Linked DNA regions of Lepisosteus oculatus. The protein of the gene in region 1 purifies or fractionates together with the protein of each later gene. This does not show direct contact. Links are inferred from orthologs where the notes say so. Each region holds a gene or a part of one and is shown in the gene's direction. Other genes may lie near its edges.

The links.
Region 2: the proteins of mak (region 1) and katnip purify together in Homo sapiens (affinity purification with mass spectrometry; 3 studies listed by BioGRID and IntAct, with this or other methods). This does not show direct contact. The link is inferred for Lepisosteus oculatus from reciprocal best matches to the Homo sapiens genes MAK and KATNIP.

What each region holds. Positions count from the first base shown.
Region 1 is NC_090701.1:4,028,559-4,036,138, reverse strand, and holds the start of mak (serine/threonine-protein kinase MAK), read left to right. Parts: upstream 1-4,550; 5' UTR 4,551-4,715; intron 4,716-7,580. UniProt on the Homo sapiens protein: Essential for the regulation of ciliary length and required for the long-term survival of photoreceptors. Phosphorylates FZR1 in a cell cycle-dependent manner. Plays a role in the transcriptional coactivation of AR.
Region 2 is NC_090714.1:16,335,537-16,342,513, reverse strand, and holds the start of katnip (katanin-interacting protein), read left to right. Parts: upstream 1-3,976; 5' UTR 3,977-4,632; coding exon 4,633-4,639; intron 4,640-4,658; exon of another isoform or gene 4,659-4,954; intron 4,955-5,128; coding exon 5,129-5,172; intron 5,173-6,389; coding exon 6,390-6,481; intron 6,482-6,962; coding exon 6,963-6,977. Other genes in the region: dcun1d3 (DCN1-like protein 3), read left to right, coding at 1-345. UniProt on the Homo sapiens protein: May influence the stability of microtubules (MT), possibly through interaction with the MT-severing katanin complex.

The sequences.
Region 1 (7,580 bases):
TTTCACTTGCGTATCCTCGCACTGTCCAGGGACAAGCTCAGGATGGAATTGGTTTCTTGGAAAGCTGGCCCTGGTGCGAGTGTGCTTGTGTCTGCCTGTGTCCTTTGATGGACTGGCGTCCAATCCAGGGTGTAGCCCACCTTGCATGCGTTGCTTGCTGGGATAGGTTGCAGTCCCTCCACAACCCTGATTTGGAAGACGCCATTAGAAACTGGATGGACGGATAATCTTAATATAGGTATGTTGTTTCTTCTATAAGATGACTAAGCAGTACTGTATCTTACTAAAGTTTTCCATGAAACCACAGGAATGAATAAGAAAGTTAATATGGGCAGGTAAAATGCTATAATTTAATAGAGTCAAAAGAGTCATAAGAAATGTTTAGTTTAACTTCTGTTACTCCATTTCCTGACATTTAATCTCTTTTATGTTGAAAGGCTTCAGATGAAAGATCATATGACACATGGGTTGTATTGTTCAGAGCAGTGCAGTTAAAACAGATCTGGAAAACACTGTGCCTCCTCAAAGCTTATTACTGGAGCAAACACTGTGGAAGCAGAAGATCATTGCACCATGTATTACTGTCCATCAACAAGGCAATACAAATCATTCCCTGAGTTATTTCAAGTAGGAATTGTTAGTCAGGCAGTCAAACATATGAAAAGAAAGTGTAAATCGTTTTAACCAATTGTTGTTCAAAAATATTTAATTTTACGAACTGCTAAAACTATACCATAAGAAATGTATCAAAACACAAAATCGAGCATCTGATTACTGTACATGTCGTTGCTGAGCTGTCTGAATCCAGGGTTCATGATATTGTCTGTAACGTGTTCCCTAGTACAGTGTCCTAGAGCACAGCTCTGAATTGCTGAGAAGCAGTCTAGCCTTTCTAAGAGTGGAATGAGTGGATTTTTATGAATGGCAATAGACTGCAGATATATAGCAACATGAAAGATTATTTGGAAACAAAGACGGGCTATTGATTTTCAGGCAACCTAAATAGTAAATATTATGGTTCTAGATACTTAATGAAAACATAAACATTCTGACTGAAGTCATAGCCAGCACCGATCGTCCCCAGGCAGTTAATGACGTTTTTCATTTGAGCTGTCCCTTTGCTGTTCTTTTGATTGACCTTGAAAAAATGCTTTCCCCCAACACAAATTGCACATCGTTAATAAACTAGGACATCTTTTAGTATTCACTGTATAAAAACAATTAGACAGTTTGTTTTTAAATAGCACTCTATAAATGTTGCAGCTCGTATGTTCGGTTACCATATAAGAATGCTTTTCACTGTATTATTGTGCTTGCAACTTGTGAAACAAGACAGACTTTTGATGGGGCTTTTCATGTTGTTGGGGACTACAGGAAATATCCTACATATAAATAATTCAGAAACACCAAAACAGTGTGACGGTAGCTGGAGGAAGTTAAATTAAGGATAATGGGATGTTAAGTCCCAACTGGAAAATGCCAGTTAGAATGCTTCCTGGGAAAGGTTTGTGGGTTTATCTCTCAGGTCCAGTTTAGACTTTACTAAGCATATTTTTCAATGAATCACATTTTGTAAACAAGAGCTTAGATGCAGAATGAGTTCAAAAACAGCACTTCATGCTGACTACGGCTTGTTCTTAAAGTGCTTACCTTTCTTTTCTTAATCAGCAGCTTTCCCACAACCATCGGAAAAACCTGTTTTCATTTCAAATGCAATGAGCTGCTCATAGCTGTAAAACAATTTTTTTAAGCTACCGGTTTTAAAAGAGGTCAGTAATTCTTGTACATTCTAAAATAAATGACTGTCTTTTTTAGAGGATTAGAAGGTTTCCTAACAATAATCATTTGCTAGATTACGCGGATGGATAGGGTTACATGAAAACAGTTAAGAAAGTCTCGGACAACACAGCCAGCAGTTCTGACTCCCTGGAAGTGCTGACGTGATCCAATTGTCTGCTCTTTCTTTTGATGATCACCTTCAGATAAAGAGCTACTGAACTGTACCGCATTATCAGGCAAAGGCATTGCCAAGGCTGTAGGGTTTCAAAGGCAAACCCAAGACTTTCATTGGAAAATTACTGCTGAGGCACATTGACAATAAGCAGCCTCTGCATAGCTATGCCCTGGATTTCCAGTGTTTACTATTCCAGTGTTCCAGTAGGCTGCAGCATGCAGTTTACTGTGGCTGAGTTTTTGGAAACATCATTTTGCCAATGATCATCATGTTCCCCCGGGCCCCTCTTTAAAGTGGCATCACTCAGTGTTGCAGAAAGGGGCTCGTGAGGATAGGTCACCACGTGGCAGTTGAAGAGGAACCTGGCTGCTCATCACCTACGCCGAGCCGCACAACTTCAAACCTCATTTACAACACGCTAACTGACAGCTAATGAAAACACTGTCAGACGGCCTGTGCAAACAATACAGGAGGCAACGAGAGTGCTTGGCTGGCAGACAATAGCTGTTTGGCAACCGGTAGGGCCAGGCTCGCTTGACTTCTCGAACAGATCAGGCTCGAGCTTGTTTCCCCGCAACGTTTCATCAATCTTAATCACGGCTGCAACTTGCAAGGACAGTTAGGTTTTGAAACTCAATCCCCTCTCTGGAAAAAAAAAAAAAAAAAAAGAGAGGCGCTAGGTTAGACTTTGCTCTGATCTGCTTTCATTCCCTAAAAGATTTTTATTACTGTTGTGGTTGTTAGTATTGGCTGAAATTCTGCTGGCATCTTCCCCGAGGGCAGTGTTTTTATTTTGTGCTTGGGCAAAGCATTTGAGCTGAAGGTTAAAGGGAAATGTGGGAGATAAAAGTGGTATTTGGGAGATAAAACTAAGATTGTAACGGGCAGAGCAAACGGAGAGCTGTGAGAGAGCAACACCTTTCCCGAATGAGCCACGAGACAAATGCATCACTCCCTATTCCTCTCATTCACAAATCCTGACCACATACAGCCAAGTCTACTCCACTCCCCCACCTCACCTATTAAATAATCCCGACAACATACAGTCAAATATACCCCTCTCCCCACCTCACTCATTCACCAGTCCCCACCCTACACATCTGGAGCAACAATTTTGCCAGCCCTGACTCAAAAAAAAATGCTATACAAATAACGGTGAAACAGCCGAAACGTAAGTCTCGCACAAGATGTTTTCAGATAAGATGGCTGAGGTGCGATTACCTTCAACAGAGGTTTCTTTAGGGATGGGCTTGTGTGCAGGAATGTTTATTATATGTCGATTTACAGCAGCGTTGCCATCTTCTGACCTGATTTTGTCAGATTTCTAAAGCTAAGCAAGTCTGGGCCTGGTCAATAGTTGGAGAGCAGACGTATACGGAAACCCGGGTTACTGCTACAGTGGTGTGGGCCTGGTTGACCAATAGATGGGGCTCTTCCCTCTCAACCACAATTTCCAACCCAACAATGCTGCAGTGTGAACTGGGGACACCATGCTTTTGGAGGTACAGATGAGGCTTTAAGTTGAGGTCCTCACTATGTGGTCATTACAGATCCCATGGCACAGCTCATAAGAGTAAGGATGCTAACCCTGGTGTCCTAGCTAAAGCCCACTCTGAGCTTGCACAGCCTGGCCCCTTGAATCAGCTCCAGCAGTTTCTGACTTCTTCACATGACCTGCTGTGCAGTGCGGTTTCAGCAGTGGATGAACTGGGTCACCTCCTTTATTATAAACCCACTTGTGATCCTTTAGCATGAACAGTTCTACGTGAAACCAATTATAATTATATAATAACATTAAACACATTGTGTATTATATGAAAATGGATGACCTTTACTCGTCTTAATTTCATACCAAAATATAAAATGCTTAGACTGCTGACAGAATTAGAAAGTATAAGTACTCTATAGATACACTAGTATGCCTTTGTATGAACCATACAGACATTGCAGAGGCTGTGTTTATCTGCTTTTTAGGTATGTTCCATTTGCTCATGCATGTGAAGTTCTGAGCTATTGCTAATGTAGTTGCTCCCTCTGCTGGTAATATATTTCCACAAGTATGGGAAATCTCCCCCAATAAGAACACTCAGTGACTATTTCATTATGTACGCAGAAGAAATCCACAGGTTCCTTCTCTCTAACGATGACCTAATGCACAATGGGCCAATAATAGTTAAAGGAACAAGTCATTGGTTTATTCCATGCTGAAAAGAGAAGAAAGAAAACACAACGTTTCGGCCGTGGAGCCTTCTTCAGGTGTGATGGTTTCCGAAAAACTAACCATGAAATTACGTTAAAACCGTCATATGGTTTGACTATTTTTACAGTTCGCTCTGTGCATATTCTCTCGGCGGAAAAGCACCACCTCGTTGATAATCATATCGGCTTTCAGCGTTTTCAGAACGCCCAAATCATATTCAGAGTGTGTATAGTGTCACATATACACTGCCATCTTCATCCTTCAATGAATAAGAGATCTAATCATTTTCACTTGTACAGCATCATCCATGCAGCAGCAGGTTAGCATACGCATACACACACACACACCAACGCCTTCCGGGTCACTTCGCCTGCAGTGACCTCAAATCCCACAAGGCACCGCGCCAGCCCTGACCCCAGGCGCTCGTGTGTGCGGAGTCCCCCGTTGCCAAGGAGAAGGCAGTGTCACAGACAGGCACGGGGCGAGGAGCAGCCGCGCGATCACAACAAACGTCGCCGCTGCCTGGCTGCACAGGCACTGGGAGCCAGAACCGGGCGCACGGTGAGTCCGAAAGAGCAGGAAAGGCAAAATATGTGCAGCCGTTTACCCTTTATACATTAAAGGATCTACTTAGAAGGATTGGGCAGGCTGCCAGCCGTTGCATTGCAACTCTTTTCCTTAGCCTGCTTTCACCTGTAATGTGGTATAGTGTAGCTGCTGGGCATCTCTGTTCAGACAGCCCGTGTTATTATAAAATATACTCTCTCTCTATATATATAATTATATATTCTTACTGTGTTCAGTGCCTGTGTTGGGTGTGTTCAGTGCCTTCCTGTCTGGCATATGTTCGGTGTATTACTGTGTTCAGTGTCTGACGTGTGTCTCATTGTTTCGTAGATATCTGGGGCTCCATTCATAGCTGTGTTGTCTCACCCATCCTTTCAGGGCTGAAACACGCCTTTTGAAGTTGTGTCCCAGCGTCTCTGCTTCACAAATTCATACTAGCTCATACAGTCTAGGATGGCAGGTTGGGTAGCAGAAACTGGTTAACTAATGTGAGAGGTTTTATTTTATTCTAAATGTACAATTAAACGTAAACAACACTGAGAATGTGACAGTTTTTATTTTCCAGTGTGAAGTGCAGCCTTCAGCTTCATTGCAGCCTGTTTTGCTTCTGTTGTGATTTTCGCGATCACTTGTCAATAATAGAAGCCAAGAGGTTTTCTTTTAAAAAAACAAAACAAACATTTTTAATTCCATTTCTTAATTCAATTACTGTCTTGAACGAATGAACGACTGACCCACGAAGACTATCAAGACTAGGAGACACTGGGACAAGCACCTTTGCAGCATGAAACGTACACTGGCCCACTTACAGAATTCGCTATATGATTGCAGTGACCTTGGGATTCTCTAGGTAGATTCTCTATGTACGTCATTAGCCTCTCTGCTCATCCTTAATTCTAATTCTTCTTAAATCCTGTCCCGGCAGATTGCGTTTCACAAAAGCTTAGTGCACTGCTAGGAAGCAATCTGTTCGTGGTCACACTCACTGTGTAGCAATGCGGACAGGCCCTGTCTCTGTGCCCATTTGTCTGTGTGCGTGGTTTTGTGCCCTGTGCGCTTGATAATTCTGTGTGGGGTGTTCTTCACCCTACTGTAGAAGTTGTTACTTCTGTATGTAACTTTTATTTGTCTCAGGAACTTTTCCTTTTCAGGGTCAATGCTGTTGACATTCACCTGTCTGCAGTACGCTGTGGTGGTATACTCTTCAAAGAAACTCCTCAAATGAGCAACAGATTGATCTTCACCTTTAAAAAGCAGCTTTCTTAGAAGGATATGCACCAAGCATGCCTACTTTCAGATGATGATAGGATAACTCTAGTTATCCACAGGAACCTTTCCATGCAAATGTCAAGATACATGCCTGAACATGCTATTAAGATTTTTTTTTGGTATTTTGCATGAATGTACAGTAGAACATGCTGCGAACAGGGTTTTTTTCTGTTTTGCTGGCACTAATGCTAATGAGGATCAGATGGTAAAAGAACAATAATCCAGATTAAAATACCTGCTGGCTGTGTTCTTTCAGGGTTTTTGCAGTCTGAGCTAATGTACATTAAACTCTCATGTTAGAATTTATGTCACTAATTCCTTGTAAGGGTCTTGCCGTTTCTAAGGATGCTTAATTTCACATAACGTACCCTGCAAGAGTATTCTCTCCCCTGCAATGATGTCCCAATTCATAAAATTACAAATGATGTCTAATCCTTTTTTAAAGTGAACATTTATAATCAAAACTTGGATGGTCAAACTGAACACACACACAAGGATTAAGGGCCCAGTTAATGCCCTGACTTGAATCCAACAGAATCCAATCTGTGGCAAGACTTGAAAATTATTGTCCATCAACCTACTTGACAGAGCTTGAGTGAGTTTGCAAAGGAGAACTGGCAACAGCTACACCATCCCAGCGTGCAGTGTTAATAGACTAATCCTAACAGAGTTGTAATTGCTACCAAAGGAGCTTTTAGCAACTATTGAGGGAGGAGGGAAGTACTTACTGTATGTTATCAACATTTTCTAGTTTTTGATTTTTCCTTGCAGTATTTGCTGTCACTTCTTAATGATCGACTTTACCTCGCTCATTGTCTTTGAATCGATTTTAATCCCCTTCTCCTAAGAACGTTATCCATGAGTGGTTTTGAAAACTCCATATTTTCATCAGTTGTAATTCAACAAAATGTGATGTCATGAGAAGGGAGTGAATACTTTTGTAAGGCACTGTATGTAAGGATTTAAAAATATCTGTTGACTGTATATTTACAGGCTTTTGTTCACCTCACAATGGTATTATTATACCGTGAATAATGTTAATTTTCGCTTTGATAATATCATATTGGATTTTTTCACAATGTTCAATGTTTACCGTTTATTAATTTAAAAGTTACTCACAAGTAACTCACCTTGGATAGAAGCGTTAGCAAAATGCAATGATAATGTCTTTAAAAGTCAGCCTACTGCACATCTGCTAAGTGAAATTACATCAGAAGTACCACATGATATGCCTACTTCATCATAATGTTTTAGTCCACAATTAATGCAAAATGCAGCGCCAGCTCAAACTCAATTAGTTGACTTTTGAAATCCATTTCTGTGTAAAGGAGATATTAAAAACAAGTGCCCTTAAATAATTACCAAGCAGGATTCTCTTTCCAGCAAACCTAACCGTTGAAGACTGTATCTCTCAGTGGAAGCTTAGCGAGGGCAGCTGTAACATGACAAACCCAATAGTTTTTTCTCACTCAGCCTTGGATTTTAGTTTTTCTACCTATAAATGAAGGACTACCGACTTTGTACTTTTTCATGTTAACGTCTCTCTGTCTGTCATAAAGCAGATATCGGTAACATTTCTCAAATCTTGAT
Region 2 (6,977 bases), on another chromosome or scaffold:
GACTCGGAGGAGGGCCAGCGGTCACTGCACCGCGACATCGCCATCGCGCTCTGGCGGCTGGTCTTCACCCAGAACACGCCCTGCATCCTGGAGCGCTGGCTGGACTTCCTGACGGAGAACCCGTCGGGCGTGAAGGGCATCTCCCGGGACACGTGGAACATGTTCCTCAACTTTACTCAGGTGATCGGGCCCGACCTCGGCAACTACAGCGAGGACGAGGCCTGGCCCAGCCTCTTCGACACCTTCGTGGAGTGGGAGATGGAGAGGAGGAGGAAGGAGGAGAGGAGGAGCGCAGCGGCGCTGGAGCAGCTGGACAGGGGGAGCGAGGGGGGGGGCGCCGACTGAGCCCGTCCGCCTGCAGGAGAGGGGAGAGGGGCCTAGTAAACTCTGGATCTCTGAAAACTCCGATGAAGATTAACGTTATTGTTCCTATTATTATTATTGTTGTTGTTGTTATTATTATTATTATTATTATTATTATTATTATTATGATTGTTTTTTTTTTCCTCTCTTTTATTTTCGAGGGACAGGGGTGGGGTTTTAATCTCTCCAGCACCTGCGTATGCCTTGTGTTTTTCGAAAGGGCTCCAAAAATACTGTATGGTTTTTTTCCCCCCAGGCACTTTTTTTAAAAAATTAATTTAATTTCTTTTTTTTAATGGGTTTGGTTTTAAAAAAAAAAAATCGGACACGCGCCGCCCCCAGCCCCCAATCCCCCCCCCCACCCCCACACTGGCTCCTCCGTCTCTCCCTCCCGGGTCACTCAGACCCCTCTCGCCGGCCCAGACTGACCAACGGACCGCCCAGCCTCCTGGCTCCCCTCCGCTCTCGCCCGTCCTGTTCCTCCTGTGTCCGTTCTGGAAAGGGTTTGGTATTCCGGTCACTACAGTGCCAGAGCTCGTGTGTTTTCGGGGGGGCGGGGGGGGGCAGTCCTGTACCTGGTGGTATAGTGCCGTTTACAACCCGCCACAGCGGCTCCCGTCTTCTGTTTTTTGGGTTTTGTTTCTTTTTTTTTTTAATATAAAAAAAAATGCAGTGGTTTATATTAAAAAAAAATAAAACAGTGTTAATCATTTAAAAGCCGTTCCTTGCATAATTAAAAACTGGACCCTGAAACGCCACCGGGCCTGTCCACGCCCCCCGTGTTTTTTTTAAACCTGCCGTGCTGTGAGCTGGGAAGGGGGGTCCCCAGACTTCCTGGCAAATCCCGGGGAGTGGGCTTCAGGCTGGGCACCGCCCTCGTGGCGGGACGGTTGTTCTAGGGATGCATGTCCCTTTTTTTGTCCGGATCGGGCCAAGCTGAGTGCTGGACCTTGTGCCGCGGGGTGGTGATATCTGGGCTCCTCTGAGCTTGTGGGGACCCAGTGTGAGGAAGTGGTTCACAAGGACAGCCCGGCCGCAGTGTGCTGGGGGTGAGCGGGTGTTCAGCAAGTGCGGAGGGGTGATGGCTGACTGCCTGTGTTTTCATGAGATGACTGTACTGTACACACAGTACCAGTACTCGTGCCCACTGTACGGACCGTGTGTGATCTTCATGGCCAGCTGGCCCTCTTCAGCACCTCCTGAACAGCCAGGAGAACCCAAGTGCACTGAGAGGATGGGCCCAGCCAGCACTGCTGCAAGTACACTTGGCCAGAGCTGTGTTGGTGCCCCGACTTCCCTGGCCTGCAGGGTGGCGGTACGGTCAGTGTGGGGGCGCCCCTTGCCAGCGGGGGGGAGCCCGTTGTCCTAGCTGCCTGCAGAGTGCGCCTGGACAGTCCGGGTGGGCAGCTTGGAGGGGTGGTCACTCTCCCCTGCACGTCCCTCACGTGTGGCCGCACAGGAAGAACCAGCGAAGGGGGCTGCGAACAGAGGCCCCTCGCTCCGTATGGTCCCCCGGGGAGCCTGCGTGTGTTCAGCGGTGCTCAGCTCCAGGGCCCCAGGGGAGCGCTCGGTGGGGAATTACCCAGCGCACAGCAGGAACGCCGCGGTGCTTCGGCACGTGACAACTGACAGACCGGAGGGCAGCAAGCCAACAGAAAAACACATCCGCACCGGAGAGGGATGGCCTATATATAGGGGGGCGGCTGTCAGAAGGCGAGTGCAGTTTGGTTTTAAATCATCTGGAGGCCAATGCCCATTTGCAGCAGTCATTAACAGCACAGTGTGCACTCCTGGAATGAGTGGCTGTGGCACTCTGGAGAGATCAGGGCAGGTGTGTGAGCCCCACACTTGTTTACTGCTGCGCCTGCCCATCTCCTGCGCTGCAGCTGTCTGGTGCCGGTTGAGCGGGCCGCGGGGACACACCTGCAGGAGGTTGTTTTTCTTCCTTCTGAGAAATGAAGGGGAACAAGCGCCGCGGTACACGTCACTGGCGCTAGTCCAGGTGAGCGCTCCAGTTCAGCACACCCGGTGACACCGTGTCCTTGCGTTTGGGTGGAAGAGTGTGAAAATGGCTGAACTGGGAGGTTAGGTCATGTTTGTTAGATGTCAAGTAATAAACCAAGGTTTAAATGAAGAGTTCTCCAATCCGCTTTGATAACCTGGATGGGTGTAACCTTGACTAACGGTTTGTTTCCATTTGCTCCTGCACAGCGCTGAAGAATCGGTACAGGTCCTCTCAGCAGCTTCATTAAACACCGAAGGAGGCTTCAGAGGCTCTACGGTACTTTCCCCTTGACTTGCACAGCGTTTGTAAGAGTGTATTTGCAGAAAAATAAATTAGCCAGTATCAAAAACTGAAATGCCATCAGTGTAGCCCAAGGAGGCTGGCTTTGGTGAAGGGCAGGGACACTAGCTGCTGAGGGACGAAGCACAGGAGAGGTGGGACCACCTTAAAGCCTCTTTATTCTGCTTTTGGATGTTATGTAACCCCACAAATTCTGTTTCCTGGTATCCCTAGATCATGCAAGACAAATTCCTGGATTATCGTGAGAGTAAATGGATTGGTATTTTGACAAACTGTAAGAGGATGTCAGTGCTGATACCCTCAGCTTCAACGCATGTTGTTTTGCACAAAATTGCCAACAAAAAAAGGCAACACAGATCTGTCAGTTTCACGTGTGCCATCATATGATAAGCCTTTAAAATAGGATCTAAAAACAGCTTCCACAGTTGTATAATTTTCATTAAGTCTCATGCTGTTAAATAACTTAAAAGTGCAGTAAAAATGCTTTCCAACAGTAAAATGACCAGAGCTGTCCACTTAAAGACATACAGTCTTAGTGGAAATTCTTTTTTTAGTACATGGTAATGTAATAAATCTATTTTGAGTTTTTTTTTATCTTGAGTATAAATATTCTAGAAATATCCGTTTTTCACAAGACTCACTGGAGGAGATTCTAGGATCAATCAACTATCTAGCAAGCAAATGAGCTAAATGCTCTGAATGGCCACCTGTTCTTGAGCTGTCTGGTCTGTTTTTCTGCAAGTAGGCTTGGTGTTCAACAGCCCCTGTTGTGCTGCGCAGTTGCCGATATTCGGGGGGGTCATCCTCTGGAGAAGAGATCTGATCGAGGGGAGCCCCCAATCCGGTTCCTCCTCCTCCTAGGGCACCTGATTTTAAAGATTCACCACACCTGTGGGTTATTGATGACTCAGGAAATCTAGTACTTGAGGATTAGTGAGTTCTTAGATTTTAGTATTGAATTATCTCTATTACAAATCACCTGTTTAATTGATCACTTTAGAATTGATAGATGTTTTTTCATCTCTTATCTTTCTTTAGTTCTTTTTATAATACTTCTTTTCCTCTTTTTTGTGTTTTTGTTTTTGCTCTGTAAAGCATCCCAAACTCTGCTTGGTATACATGGGCACTGGAATAAATCTGTGTCATTGTTCAAGGGAAATTGGAAATGGGTGATTTAACAGTGACCTACAAAACCTGCTGGTGTGGGGCTCCCCAGGACCAGTGTTGGCACCCCAGTGTTGTGGTTTACGCAGTAGAAGGATCTTGGATTTAAATTTTATGCCATTATAGGACATTAAACTTTCCAAGACCTTAATTGCTCAATTAACCCAGGAGCTGAGGACCACTTAAATAATTATGGATTATTAATGGCCAAGGGTCCAGGTGCCAAGTTGGACCATCACCTGTGACATGCCTATGGAAAACAGCTGAAGCAAAGGATAACTTCAAGAGTAACATGTCAACACACACTGTAACGGAAGTTAATGTACTGTCTGTACTGCCCTCTGGCGGCCAGTATTGAAACGGCAAGCAAAGTTTTGTTTTCTTAATTGGATTCTGCATGTTTCCAACATGCAGCTGGGAAGTGAAGATCCGAATTTGAACACATAACCTTCAAAAGTAATTAAGACAGAGCCCGATCCACCGTCGGCTCCAGATTTAAAATACTGCTGCTGATTTTTAATTCCCTGCCAGCGCACATGGCCTTATAATTTGCTGTAAAGGTGAAGTGTTGTGGGTCCCATCTCAGTGACGTCAGCCAGCGGTCTTCACCAAGGGGGCGTGGCGAATCCCGGGTCTCCCTGCAGACTCATTGGTCAGCGCGCCATTGCCAGGGGGCGGGGCGGAGTGGCGATTGGCTAGCGGCTCTCTTGGTTACCAGCATGACAACGCGGACGGGGCTGTGAACGCGTCCCCATTGAAAACACACTTGGAGTCTGTTATCACCTCGTCAAGGCGATGACATGGACTGTAAGTTTGATCTTTTACATTTGGACACGCCGATTTCTGCTCGATCTTTCTCGTTTCTGCGAGAAATGCGATCCGAGCACGAATGCAGACACCTGAGCGTGTGTGGTGTGTTTATAAGCTATGTGTAGCTAACGTTTTAAAGAAACAAAAACGCAGGTCAAAAACTGTATTTTAAAGTTCACTTCCGTCTTAATCGTCCACACGGCTCTATGTGTTAAAGTAGTTTGTTTCCTTAGACTACAGTTTTCGTTGTCGCTACACAGATTGGTGTAGGCCCTGGCTGTAGCCGCGGGGTGGAGTTGTCTTTCACTGCGGGTGAGGTGTCCGTCCGCCCGGGCGGGGCCGCAGAGGGAGAGGGCGGCAACACCGACGCCTTGCAGACCCGCAGATTGCGTTTTACATGTTGATTTTTTTTTCTTGTCTGGTCACTTACAGAGTCATGCGTTTAAAAATGTTTCTTTCTCTGTCTGATGTTTTAAACGAATCCAGGCAAATTCGACAGGGGCGGCGCCAGCCCGGCGGAGATGGAAGAGGTAATTTCTTGTGTGTTTTTTTTTGACAGCGAATACTTCAGCGTGAGTCGAGGTGGGCTTGCTCCACTCAAATAGCAGCGCTGTTAAAATAATGGGGGGTGGCGATGGGGGGGTCGATTATGCGACTACTGATGCTTATCGCTGCGCACGGGGTATTGATTTCAGTCGATCACAAATTATAGCTGGGGTCGCATCTCGTCGGAGAAGGGTATGGTGGCGTGGAATGACTGTCCTCCGACTGGACACTGGTCCAGCGAGCTAGGCCCAAGTATGGGCTCCAGGATGTACAGCCGGGGAGAGGGTGGTCTCTGCTGGTGACACACGCATGAATACTACGTGTCTGGCTGTCTTGTCATTTTTCTTGCTTGCTCTGTTTTCTGCTGCGTGCTATCTGATGTGCCTCTCTTCATGTTCCCTCTCCTCTCTCCTTCCCTGCTCCTCTGTCTTGCAGATGCTGTAGTTGCCTGTCAGGGATTGAGTAAGGGGGTCTCTCTTCTCCTGTTTGTCCTGTGTGATGTTCTGGTCCTTTCCTGGGCTGAGCTGGGCTAAGCTCCGAGGGGGGGAAATATTTGCCGTCTTTTTCATTTGTTTAGAAGGTCTTGCTTCACCCCATACGTGTGCTTTATACCCCACTAAGCAAAACGGTTGCTTCAGTGTAAATTTGAACACATTCTTCAACAGTTCCGTGGCATTAAATTGCACATTCTAGCCATTGAGCTCCTGCTCAGCGTCAGAGAGTATTGTCCCTTCTGCCAGGTGTAGCATTCCCCTTGTTTCTCATCTGTGAGGTCAGCAGTTCAGTCCTCTGCTGGTCGAGACTGCAGGGTGTTTGCATGACTCTCCTGGCGGTTGAAAGCAGTATCTTCCTGTCCTGCAGGTTTTCCACGTACAACAGTGAAGTCCGCATAAAATGCGTAAAACTGGCTGCTGGAATTTTTCCAAATACACCGCTTTTCAATATTCAAACACGCTCCAGCAGACTCAAATGGAGAGCAGTTTATCTGTTCTTTTCTGATTGTCAGTTTCTAAGAATATGCTTCTTGGAGAACTTTTGCATTTTACCCAGTACTTACGTTCCCTGCCATGCGCCGAGCTTGCCTGATTCCCCTGTTGTGTGTCCTGCGATGGCACGTTCTTGCTTTTGAAAATGTGTGTAGGAAAGGCCGAGCCATGCAGTAATCAGCACTGTTTTGCTTTCATTCGATGTGTTTGTGAAGAGCTGGCATGGAATCGAAGCGGGGAAGCACGCTGCCTCGGATATTGAAGAAAAACACGATGAATATTTAATCGCTCTTCAACACAGGAACAGGTGAGGCGTGACGGTTGTGCTGTGACTCTTTTGCCACCCAGTCTACTGTTACAGAGTCAGAGGGCGGCCGCTTGTCAAATACACCCCCAGCTGGCTGAGGTGACACCTCGGAGAGCCAGGCTCGCACACAAAATGTGGGGTGTCTGGGACAACCCCAGAAGAAAGCCGCCGTTGTCTACTCGAACAAATGTTTTCAACTTTACGGAATAACATTTCAGACATACTCATGAGACTTTATGTTCATTTTAAGATTTTGGAAAAACCTGAGCTGAAATCTCTCCTACAGTGCAGTGTAAAGCACACTGAGAATTCGTGCGGCAGCATGTGATTTCCCTTTGTGGGCCTGAATCTGTAGCGCTGGGTTGTCCCTTTCACCCGCCACTCCAGTCCAGCCGACTGCAGCCCTGTGGGGAAAGCAAGAGTCCCGTCTGTGACCAGCAGGTTTGCTCCTGCTCAGCAGTGCTGTGTTCCTGCCCGCCAGGATCCTGAAGCGCCT